3 linked regions of the Yarrowia lipolytica genome follow. The main gene of each other region encodes a partner of the protein of the gene in region 3 in a complex. Links are inferred from orthologs where the notes say so. Each region holds a gene or a part of one and is shown on either strand. Other genes may lie near its edges.

Region 1 (3,171 bases), on a different chromosome or scaffold from region 3:
CGCCGACAGCAAGGCGAAAAACTTCATGGTTGTGGTGTCTCGTCGACTGTGCTACTGCTGTTGTCAACGCACACGAAGCATGAACCCTCGATTTAAAGTTTGATGGGAGGTTGTTTTATTGGTACGAGTACAAGCGTGTTAACTATAGAAGTACAGTAACAGGTAACACACAGTGATCGACAGCTACAGCATGACTTCTTGTACGATGACTTACGGTCCTGACATACCTGGGGAGGTTCTACAACGGCGCCAGAAGAGAATTCAGCAAGCTGCCAGTGCCCTTGAAGTGGTCCAGGCTGGACCGCAACTGTCCGAAGAGGCAGACTCATCAGACGACGATGACTTCGGTCCATCACTAACAGGTAACCCCAACATCAGCGAGACAGAGGCTCTCAATAGGTTAGAGGAGAGGAGCAGAAGCAAGACATGGGTGAATATGGACCCTGCTCACAATCCCAACCGGGATGGGTGGATGCAAAATGTCCCTGCGGAACTCTCAGGGACTTTTTCGAGTGAGTCGGCGCAGGATCGTGCTAAGGAGATGATGGGGTTTAAAAAATAGTTCACCTTCCACTCGTACATTCGTTAATACATATTTATATACAGATGCTTAAACTCGCTCGGCGACCCAAATGGCTCCTCGACATCCTGCTTTGATGGTTTCCGTGAGAAGCCAGTAAGGTCTGGCTTCATGCGAGTCGTTTTCCACAGCAATCTCGAGATGCTCCAGCTCCTCGTCACGGAATTGCTTAACAATGCTTTTCAAAGAGGTGATCTCTTCGTCCTTGGACCGCTCTTCCTTGGGAGGGAAGTTTTCGTGTAACCATCGCAACTGAGTGTTGTAGTGTCCACCAATAACAGTTTCTACGGCTTCAGTGCAAGCCATGGCACCTTCTTGACCAAGAAGGGCCGTGGCACAGCCTAGACCAGTTGCTGCAACCTTCCAGATCGGGGTAAGCAGAGACGGCCGGACTCTGTATTTCTGTTGAAGCTCGTTGAAAGTTCGTCTGTGGTGCTGCTCTTGCTCCCACATGTGCTTGATGAGAGGCTCGATCTCAGGCTTGGTTCGGCTGAGAACCATGTACTGACCTCGGTAAATAAGGTCCGCACCAAGTTCTCCAGCCTGGTCGACACGGATGAGTTTGGTAATAAACGAGGCCTCTGCCTTACTGAGTGCGTGTCGGGCCATGTCTGTTTGGAGGACTGAGAGAAGATGCGTAAGGTGGTGAAGTTAACTTTTGTCGGCTCATGTCCAAATTCATTCATCCCAAGTCCGCACTCTGCTGCGACGCAGGTGTAAGACTCGAACAGGATGTCGGACGCTGCACATGATAGAAGTCCCCAAATTGAAATCGCACATACATCACCAGGATCGTAGGCTGCTCTCTACATATCCCCACCTCAATTGTCAAGACACGGGGACACCCTCAATGACTCGGAACTCACTTGCTGCCGATGAAAACTAATCTGTACTCAAATGCCACCTCATATGATAACGAACCTTAACTGTGTGATCTGAGTAAGCAACTCGGCTTACAGTAGATGGGAAGCATAGAGCCAGAAGACGAAGAGGGTGAATAGAAAACATAGTAAAAGGGCTACGAGAACCAAATTATTATCGAAAAAAACAAGCTTATCTATATTACCAGTCGTCTCCTCCACCATAATCATCAGCGCCTCCCGAATACATATCGCCGTCGTTGTTGTTACTGTTGTCGTCATAATAGTTGTTCACAACCGTGTCACCGCCATCATGGTGGCCACTCATCATGTCTCCAATAAGCATACCACCAAGAAGACCACCACCAACACCCATGGCGGTAGTTCCCCAATTTCGTCTGTGAGGTTGCTGCTGCTGCATCTGCATAGGCGGGGGCTGGGCATACATAGGTGGAGGCGGGGGTTGTTGGTACATGGGCTGGGGGGCCAATAACCAGGTCCAGGGCCATAACCAGGTCCAGGGCCACCGTATCCGGGGCCCGGCCCTCCGCCATATCCGGGGCCCGGTCCTCCACCATAACCTCCGCCACCGTGGGGACCGCCGAAGCCACCAGGGCCAGGTCCCCCGCCGTATCCTTGAGGGCCTGAACCACCACCACCATATCCACGCTGCTCCTGGTGAGGTCTGTTGTTGTTGCTGTTGCTGTGGCTACTTCCCCGAGAAGGAGGCCGGTCGTATGATGGCGGACTGTGGCCACCGGAGCCGCTAGGCTTGTCCCACTGTGATTTTCCGTTGGAGAGGTCGACATAGTAAAAAGTCTTGTAGTTGGGGTCCCATTTGGCTAACCAGCCATCGGGGACGCTGGGGGGAGTTGGCTCGTTTGGCATGTCGTTGCTGAGGCCTGGGCTGGACTGAAGATGCCGTGTTACAGCTAGCTACGTTTCGATCGCTGCACTTCGTGGTCAGACTTTATTGGGATTTGAGATTTGGGTATGGGTAGTTTTGGCCAAGTTTACTACTGCACTACACACAGGGTAATTAGGAGGCTGTGTCAAATGTGACCGGAGGCTGTGTATGACTGATCCTTCACGTGCGACCTTACAAGCAATGAATACGGTGAAGGAATAAACTCGTCGCGCACTATTATATGCCTCTACGAGCGATATCATGATATTTAGATTTGTAATACGCGCCTTTGCTCCGGGGAACTGCACAACCTCTCAACAAGATTATGGTGGTACAGTATCGTAGACAGTAAGTATGTACAACCCCACCTGTCACCCCGAACATAAAAGTACCATACAAGTGTGATTGAATAGCGCCGTTGTATTTTCTTGTGGGTTAGACACAACTCGACATATACTACAGGTAGGTGATTAAATCTATGCACTTATATACAGGCTTTCTCAAAGATGAAATTTCTTCCCAGTGGAAGCAAATGCTTCGGAGGTTTCGGTCTCCAGAAGCTCTGTTAGGGTGGTGCCGTCACGCAGATAAACCCATTCACCGTCGACATAGTCATAACGCTTGGGGCCGGAAATGGGGGAACTTAGCCAAATCTGTTTGTTCGGGGGTTGTTTGTTGATAACGTAGGATCCAGCACCAGGGATTTCCAAGCTCATCACGCCTTGAGCTAGATCCACATCCAGCTCATTTGAATCGACCTCCTCAGCGTATTCTTCATAAGCAATCAAGATAGACTCCAAATATTCATCCGCTTGAATGTGGTA
Region 2 (3,249 bases), on a different chromosome or scaffold from region 3:
TACGCCCCCTACTACGTCCCATTCCTAAAGTGTTCCGGCAGCAACATCTCATGCGCGTTTAAAAAGATTTAAATGCTGAGGTTAACGGATCAAGAGTTCAACTCCAAAAACCGTTTAGGCAGCTTGAAGGGCTAAATAATGGTCATGGACAAGCAAAAGAATGGACAAGTTAGAATGAGGGTTGGGCTCCGATCTTGCCGCGGATCAGGTCATTTTTTATAGCTTCGAGGTAATAAAAAGAAGATTGGAAGAGTACAAGTTGGCTTCGTAGACTTCCAGAGAATGCTGTCCGATACACTCTTGGAATAATTTGGTGGAGCGCTATACAGGCAAAACACACGCAGTTGCTCGGAAGCCAAACCCGAGAAAAGCCAAGAGACACTTTAGAGACCCGATGATACGAGGGCGAGGCTGAGCATAACCGCAATGATGTTACATGTCGCTTTGTGTCGTTCAGCCGCTTCGAACGCCGGGGCTACGCTGTGTTTACTGCCAATTCCAGCGTTCCTGCTTGCTTCCGCTTTGCTCGCCTACCTTTGCCACTTCTATGCGAGAGGGTCTCAAACATGAAGCCTATTGCCCATGGTGAGAACCGCAATGCAGGGAACATGAATACGGAGGTGAGAGTGTATTTATATCGTTGGCCGAGCGCCCTTGGAGCTGCTGAGTAGGTCTTTGTGTTCGGCACGGCACTTTGCGGCGTAGAGCTGCAACGCGCAAGAAGCTCTTGTTAGTGCAACTTTGTGTACATTGGTGCGCGCCCCTAATACATGACGTGACTCGGCCGAGCTAAGGTGGATGATGGTTGGTTGCGACAACGTGGTGACACTCTATGAGGCTGAATACGAGCACGTAGAGTGCGGGGCTGTGCACACATGTTATTTGATCAATCAATATATATCCGCCACTACTTTTCTGTGCAGGAATATCGCAGCTTTTGTATGCGGTTGTGCACTACTCGTACATGTGGGACCCTCTCTACCAAGCGTACTATCACGGACTGGAACTTGGTGGGGCAAGAGCATCCGGAATAATAAATTGGTGGATTCCGGAGGGGGTGGAGTGTTGCCGTATATAGTAGTTTGTTGGGTTTTGGTGCAAGGCTCAAGGATACTGTGTCTATCCCCACACTTCTCGATCGGCTATCTCTCCCCGGATTGCTTTTCTTGGCGATGGGCTATCTTTTGATATCCGATGATATCATGACAGTTGGGGTCCCCTGTAGGCGCCTTCATAATACTACTTATAGTACCCCGGTGAGAGTCGAACCCAGGAGGAGGTTTGTTGAATTAGTAAGCCACGGACATGTGAGCGTGGAACAATACTTGAGTTATAGCAAGGACTGACGAGAGGAAGTGGCACCTGCTTTGTGGCCTGGGATATTACCTTTGGGGCAGGTTGGAGCTACAAGTACAAGTACTTGTGCCTGGCCTGCGTATCTTGAGGAGGAATCGCGCCCAGACAACTTCACTTGAAGGGGCTATATGGAGCCTTCCTAGCTTGTGTAAGAGAGACGACTTTGCCATACGGTTGCTAAGCCGACCAAGCTATCCATAAAAACACAGCACCAGTATCTGTAGCCAATACCAAGGATAATCAGCACACCAACATCCATTAGCTGCCATCCAATACAGCATGTACACAACCTACCGGTATCTACATACCCACTACCATCACCACATCCAGTCAACGCCTCAACAACCCGCATCACACACGCAGCACAAACCTTACCACCGAACCTTGTCGTATCATCACAAATTATCGAGTGTTACCACCACAGCACATAATGTCGAAAAACCTCGTTGTCTTTGGCGGAAACGGATTCCTTGGTAAGTAGCAAGTCTCAACACACACCTCACACACAGCTGCTAACACAGGACGACACATTTGCAAGCAGGCCCTCTCCAAGGGATGGGCAGTCACTTCCATCTCTCGATCTGGACCTCCCAAGAACGCCGAGAGCTGGATGTCCAAGGTCCAATGGAAGCGAGCTGACGTCTTTGAGCCCTCTACATACACCAACGAGCTAGAGAAGGCGTCGGCAGTGATTCACTCAATGGGAATCTTGCTGGAGGGCGGCAACTACAAGCAGGGACTTAACGGAGGAGTTAAAGACGCCCTGTGTGGTCTCGTCAAGGGCTCCAATCCTATGGCCAAGGACCCAAACTTTTCCTACGACAAAATGAACAGATTGAGCGCAGTTCTGACGGCAACAGCATTTGCCGACACTGTTCCGATGGACGAGAGAAAGCCCTACGTCATGGTGTCTGCCGAGAAGACCAGCAATCTCATCCCCGATGGATATATCACCTCCAAACGAATGGCAGAGACCGAAATCTCCGACCTCACCAACCTCAGATCGGTGTTCCTGCGACCCGCATTCATGTACGAGTCTTCCGGGGACCGTCAATTTGGCATTCACAAGTCTACACCTCGAGACGCTCTTGCCGAGGCTTTAAAGGTCGGATTCGGCGCCCAGACCGTTGCTCGATCCTTCTTCCCTGCTCTTCCACAGTTCATCCAGCCTCCTCTCAGTGTCAACGTTGTTGCGGAGGCAGCGGTAGATGCTCTGAATGAGGACATCGAGGGAGTCATTGCCCTGGCTGCTCTCAAACGATTTAGTGACTCCAAAAGTAGAAACTAATGTAAATAGATCGTGGAAATGATATGAGATACGACAGACTGGTTAATGGCAGGCCTACTGCCGATGTAAGGGTATACTTTTCACATACCTTCACATCAGTGTTACTCGCGTAAGGACCTTTAGAAGATATTGAGACCTGCCACGAAACTGGTACCTGATAACCACATCCTTCATACCAAAACAATTACTACTGTACTTGTACTTGTATCTGGGTCTGAATGCACAAGTATATTGCAAACTGCATCCGTGACCCCTTCGATGATCGGCGTTTAGTGGATGTAGCATAGTGACTGGATTCATCATAACGGACACAGACTTTTGAGTATTTGTACTGCAAGTAGTAGTCGCGAGTTTTTTATGATAGTGCCTGGCTCTCAGCAGTTCACTTTATTTCAACACCTCCTCACAGCTACTCGGCATGTCTGTATAAGACGCATACGAACGAGCTCTGTATCAGAGACAGGCACGAGCCGTATATTACCTGCTTAGCTCGACGATGCGCTTGACACTTGCTATGACTCAATAACCATTGGGACGACTAATATTGTGCTGCGGTACAATAATTTGTGTAGTGACAGTGTCGCGACCACGCACATTATATTTAG
Region 3 (2,952 bases):
ATGTGAGGTGATGTGATGTGATGATGTAGTGATGTCAGAGAATGGTGAAGTGACGTGGAGGAGAAGCAATATAAGGTTGTTATCGAGGGCTCTTGACTAAGCTCAGTAGAGTTGCGCCGAGGAGGTGAGAAGGGGTTTCGGAGTCTTACTGTCAGTGTATTCGTGTGCTGGATTGTTTATGTTTTTTTTTCAGGTTGATATTGTTTGTTTTTTTGTATTGAAATCGGCATTTAGAAGTCCTCCTTTTCGCTACGATACAAATACCTCCTCTCTCCCAGGTACGTATGTACTCTATGGAAAGAGGTCCGATGATTGAGTCTAAGTGTCTCAACAAAGAACGATGTGACCCCAGCTTGACAAGTGTAATTAACAGAGTGTGAGCATTTAATAATTTCGATAGATCAGGAAGATGAAAAACACAGAATGGGATTCATTACCCAGGTAAAACTTGCATATTGTATCCTATGTACAGAGTTCCATCACGTATCCAAACTACCACCTTCTAACACCACTACAGTATTACAAGTACCGGTACCACAGGGTACTCTCTTACAATATCGTTTTCATCGCACCTTCTCTACCCCTTCCCAAATTAATTTCTTCGTTCTGACTATAACTTATATACTTGCAACCCTTGGTCACTTCTTCTTGGCCATATCCTTCTTCATCTGTCGGAGATCCGGAGGCTGTTCGATTCCAAGATCTCGTCTCAGCTCCTCGGCGTCCTTCTCCAGAACCTCTTCCCAATACACATTAATGACAGGTTTGGATCGGAAGCCATTGTAGAGAGCCCAGGGAAGGTAGACGTCAAAGTACCGCTTGCGCTGCTTGGGCTTGAACTTAAGAGGAGTGAGGACCATGCCCAGACCACTCATGGGCAGACCTGTATTGGCCCATTCGAACGCCTTGAGAGCCAGCTCACCCTCCATGATGATAGGCAAACCCGTCAGGGCATGGTAGAAGTCATGGGACTCACGGTATCGCTGCATGACATAAGCGCACTCGGGATCGTCAATGTATCGCACCTGAGCTCGGGTATCAGGTGAGACCCCCTCCTTGTCCAGCCACTCCACGTATGTTCGTCCAATGCTTCCGACCTTCATGTTTCGCAGTTTGTCGAGATCCAGACTCTTGCTGGTCATTCGGGGCTGTTCGCGCAGCAGACGTCGACCGGTCGGGTCTTTGAGCATCTGCTCTCGCAGCTTGTAGATGAAGTAAGGCTGGGCGGTTGCTTCTCCAAGAGTGGCAACCAGATCGCCTCGTCGAGAGTCGAAAAAGGTGCCGAACCCACTGCCTACAGCAAGCACGGCTCGTCCCAGACACGTGAGAGGCACGTGTTCGGGGTATGCCTTGGGGTAGTTGCCGTTTAAGAGCGTTCGGCGCTGAATTGGCGCCAATAGTGTGGTTTTGGGCACCGTTCGGAACATGTTTGTACGCTTGCAAGAGAAAGTGATTCACTTAGAGTTGGTGGACTGATGTGAGAGATAAAGTTGATGCATCAAGATGAGCAACTGTGTGGTGTACCAGGTGCTCTAGCTACGACACAAGTGGGGTAGACCATTGGGAAATATTTAGTGTCCAGATTAATAAAAAAATGTTATAGACTTGTTTGGATGGTAATTTTTTTCCCGAAATTGTGACTACCGGTATCTCAGAACGATGTTGTGGTGAGGACTGTAGTTAAGAATGCATGAACAGTATAGTATGATCACTGAACAACCCTCATACGACCTACATTGTATGTACTTGTACCTACAGTAAGTGATATATATATATATATTCTTCGAACATTGAAAACGTAAGTTACACCTAATAGACCTCATCATATCATATCTTCAATATTCCATTTTATGCAAATTTCTCTTCCTTCCTTCATGTCAAAAATCACTACAAGCTTTCGGTACAGTATGTACTTGCGCTGGTAAGTTCATGATTCGATGTGCAGCTCAGACACAATCTTCCAGCCATAACCACACATCACAACATGGCACATCTATCGTGGTACCTAGACGATCTGCAAACAATAGTGCCAGAGACCATTTCCAACGGTCTGAAGCAATGTCTGCTTTCACTCACAGCCCCTGAAGACTCGCCCTTGCCTCCGTTCAAGCTACCCGTCTCATCGCACGCCTCGGAAACACTCAAGGGAGTTGTCTGTCGAAGTGGAGCTGCTATTACCGCTACTGACATCCAACTGAAACTCCATTCACTGAAAAACAAATCGTTCACAGTCAGAATCAATCCAAAAACAGACGGATACCAACTCAGCCAGATCGACAGCTGTATCAACCACGTCAGCCTAGCATTGGACCAATGTGACGCCATTATCGGCTCAAGAGATCCACAGTACCTCAATATAGTAGCCCAATCGCTCATCAAACACATCAACGAAGCCGTGGCGTCAATCAACTCACCTGTCGTGTTGCTAGAGAAACCCACTGAACCGGCTGGAGGAATCCCCAGCAACAACACCTCGCGATGTGCTACACCCAACCCCAACATTTCGCACTCCAGTCAGTCTATCCCCGTCTCGCTGTCTGGAACTCCGCACTCCACACCCTGGCTGTTCCCCAACACTCCTCCAGTTGACTGCTTCAACCCAAACCTACCTCCAGAACTCATTGTCGAGTTTTACATTGCCAAGTGTGCCATTGTGGTGGACGTGCATGTTGTGGACCGAGGCATCAGTCGAGCTGGAACTCCCTCGCAGAACCCTTCACCTTCTTCGTCTTCCGCAAACTTGGCTGCTCTCACTAACCTCTTCAAACGAGCTCCGGTAGCCTCCAATACAGCCCCCAAAATCACTTACAACGGAGAACTGGTGAGCGAGGTGGAACGAGTGGTTGTGGATACGAAAGATCCCATTCTTATGTCGATAGAGGCCAAGCTGAGCGCAATCAAATCTGCTGCTTATCGTCTCCATCGAAATCTGGCTGCGGTATCAGGTGCTTC

The links.
Region 1: YALI1_F34625g (region 3) and YALI1_E18269g share a complex: the UniProt entries of both Saccharomyces cerevisiae proteins name them as parts of the multi-subunit COQ enzyme complex. The link is inferred for Yarrowia lipolytica from reciprocal best matches to the Saccharomyces cerevisiae genes COQ4 and CAT5.
Region 2: YALI1_F34625g (region 3) and YALI1_E32754g share a complex: the UniProt entries of both Saccharomyces cerevisiae proteins name them as parts of the multi-subunit COQ enzyme complex. The link is inferred for Yarrowia lipolytica from reciprocal best matches to the Saccharomyces cerevisiae genes COQ4 and COQ11.

The regions. Positions count from the first base shown.
Region 1 is NC_090774.1:1,825,772-1,828,942, forward strand, and holds YALI1_E18269g (uncharacterized protein), read right to left. Parts: upstream 1,190-3,171; coding exon 611-1,189; downstream 1-610. Other genes in the region: YALI1_E18258g (uncharacterized protein), read right to left, coding at 1-27; YALI1_E18281g (uncharacterized protein), read right to left, coding at 1,768-2,328; YALI1_E18291g (uncharacterized protein), read right to left, coding at 2,848-3,171. UniProt on the Saccharomyces cerevisiae protein: Catalyzes the hydroxylation of 2-hexaprenyl-3-methyl-6-methoxy-1,4-benzoquinol (DMQH2) during ubiquinone biosynthesis.
Region 2 is NC_090774.1:3,274,056-3,277,304, reverse strand, and holds YALI1_E32754g (uncharacterized protein), read left to right. Parts: upstream 1-1,786; coding exon 1,787-1,829; intron 1,830-1,877; coding exon 1,878-2,644; downstream 2,645-3,249. UniProt on the Saccharomyces cerevisiae protein: Component of MIOREX complexes, large expressome-like assemblies of ribosomes with factors involved in all the steps of post-transcriptional gene expression. Component of a multi-subunit COQ enzyme complex required for coenzyme Q biosynthesis.
Region 3 is NC_090775.1:3,461,147-3,464,098, forward strand, and holds YALI1_F34625g (uncharacterized protein), read right to left. Parts: upstream 1,428-2,952; coding exon 639-1,427; downstream 1-638. Other genes in the region: YALI1_F34631g (uncharacterized protein), read left to right, coding at 1,985-2,952. UniProt on the Saccharomyces cerevisiae protein: Lyase that catalyzes the C1-decarboxylation of 4-hydroxy-3-methoxy-5-(all-trans-hexaprenyl)benzoic acid into 2-methoxy-6-(all-trans-hexaprenyl)phenol during ubiquinone biosynthesis.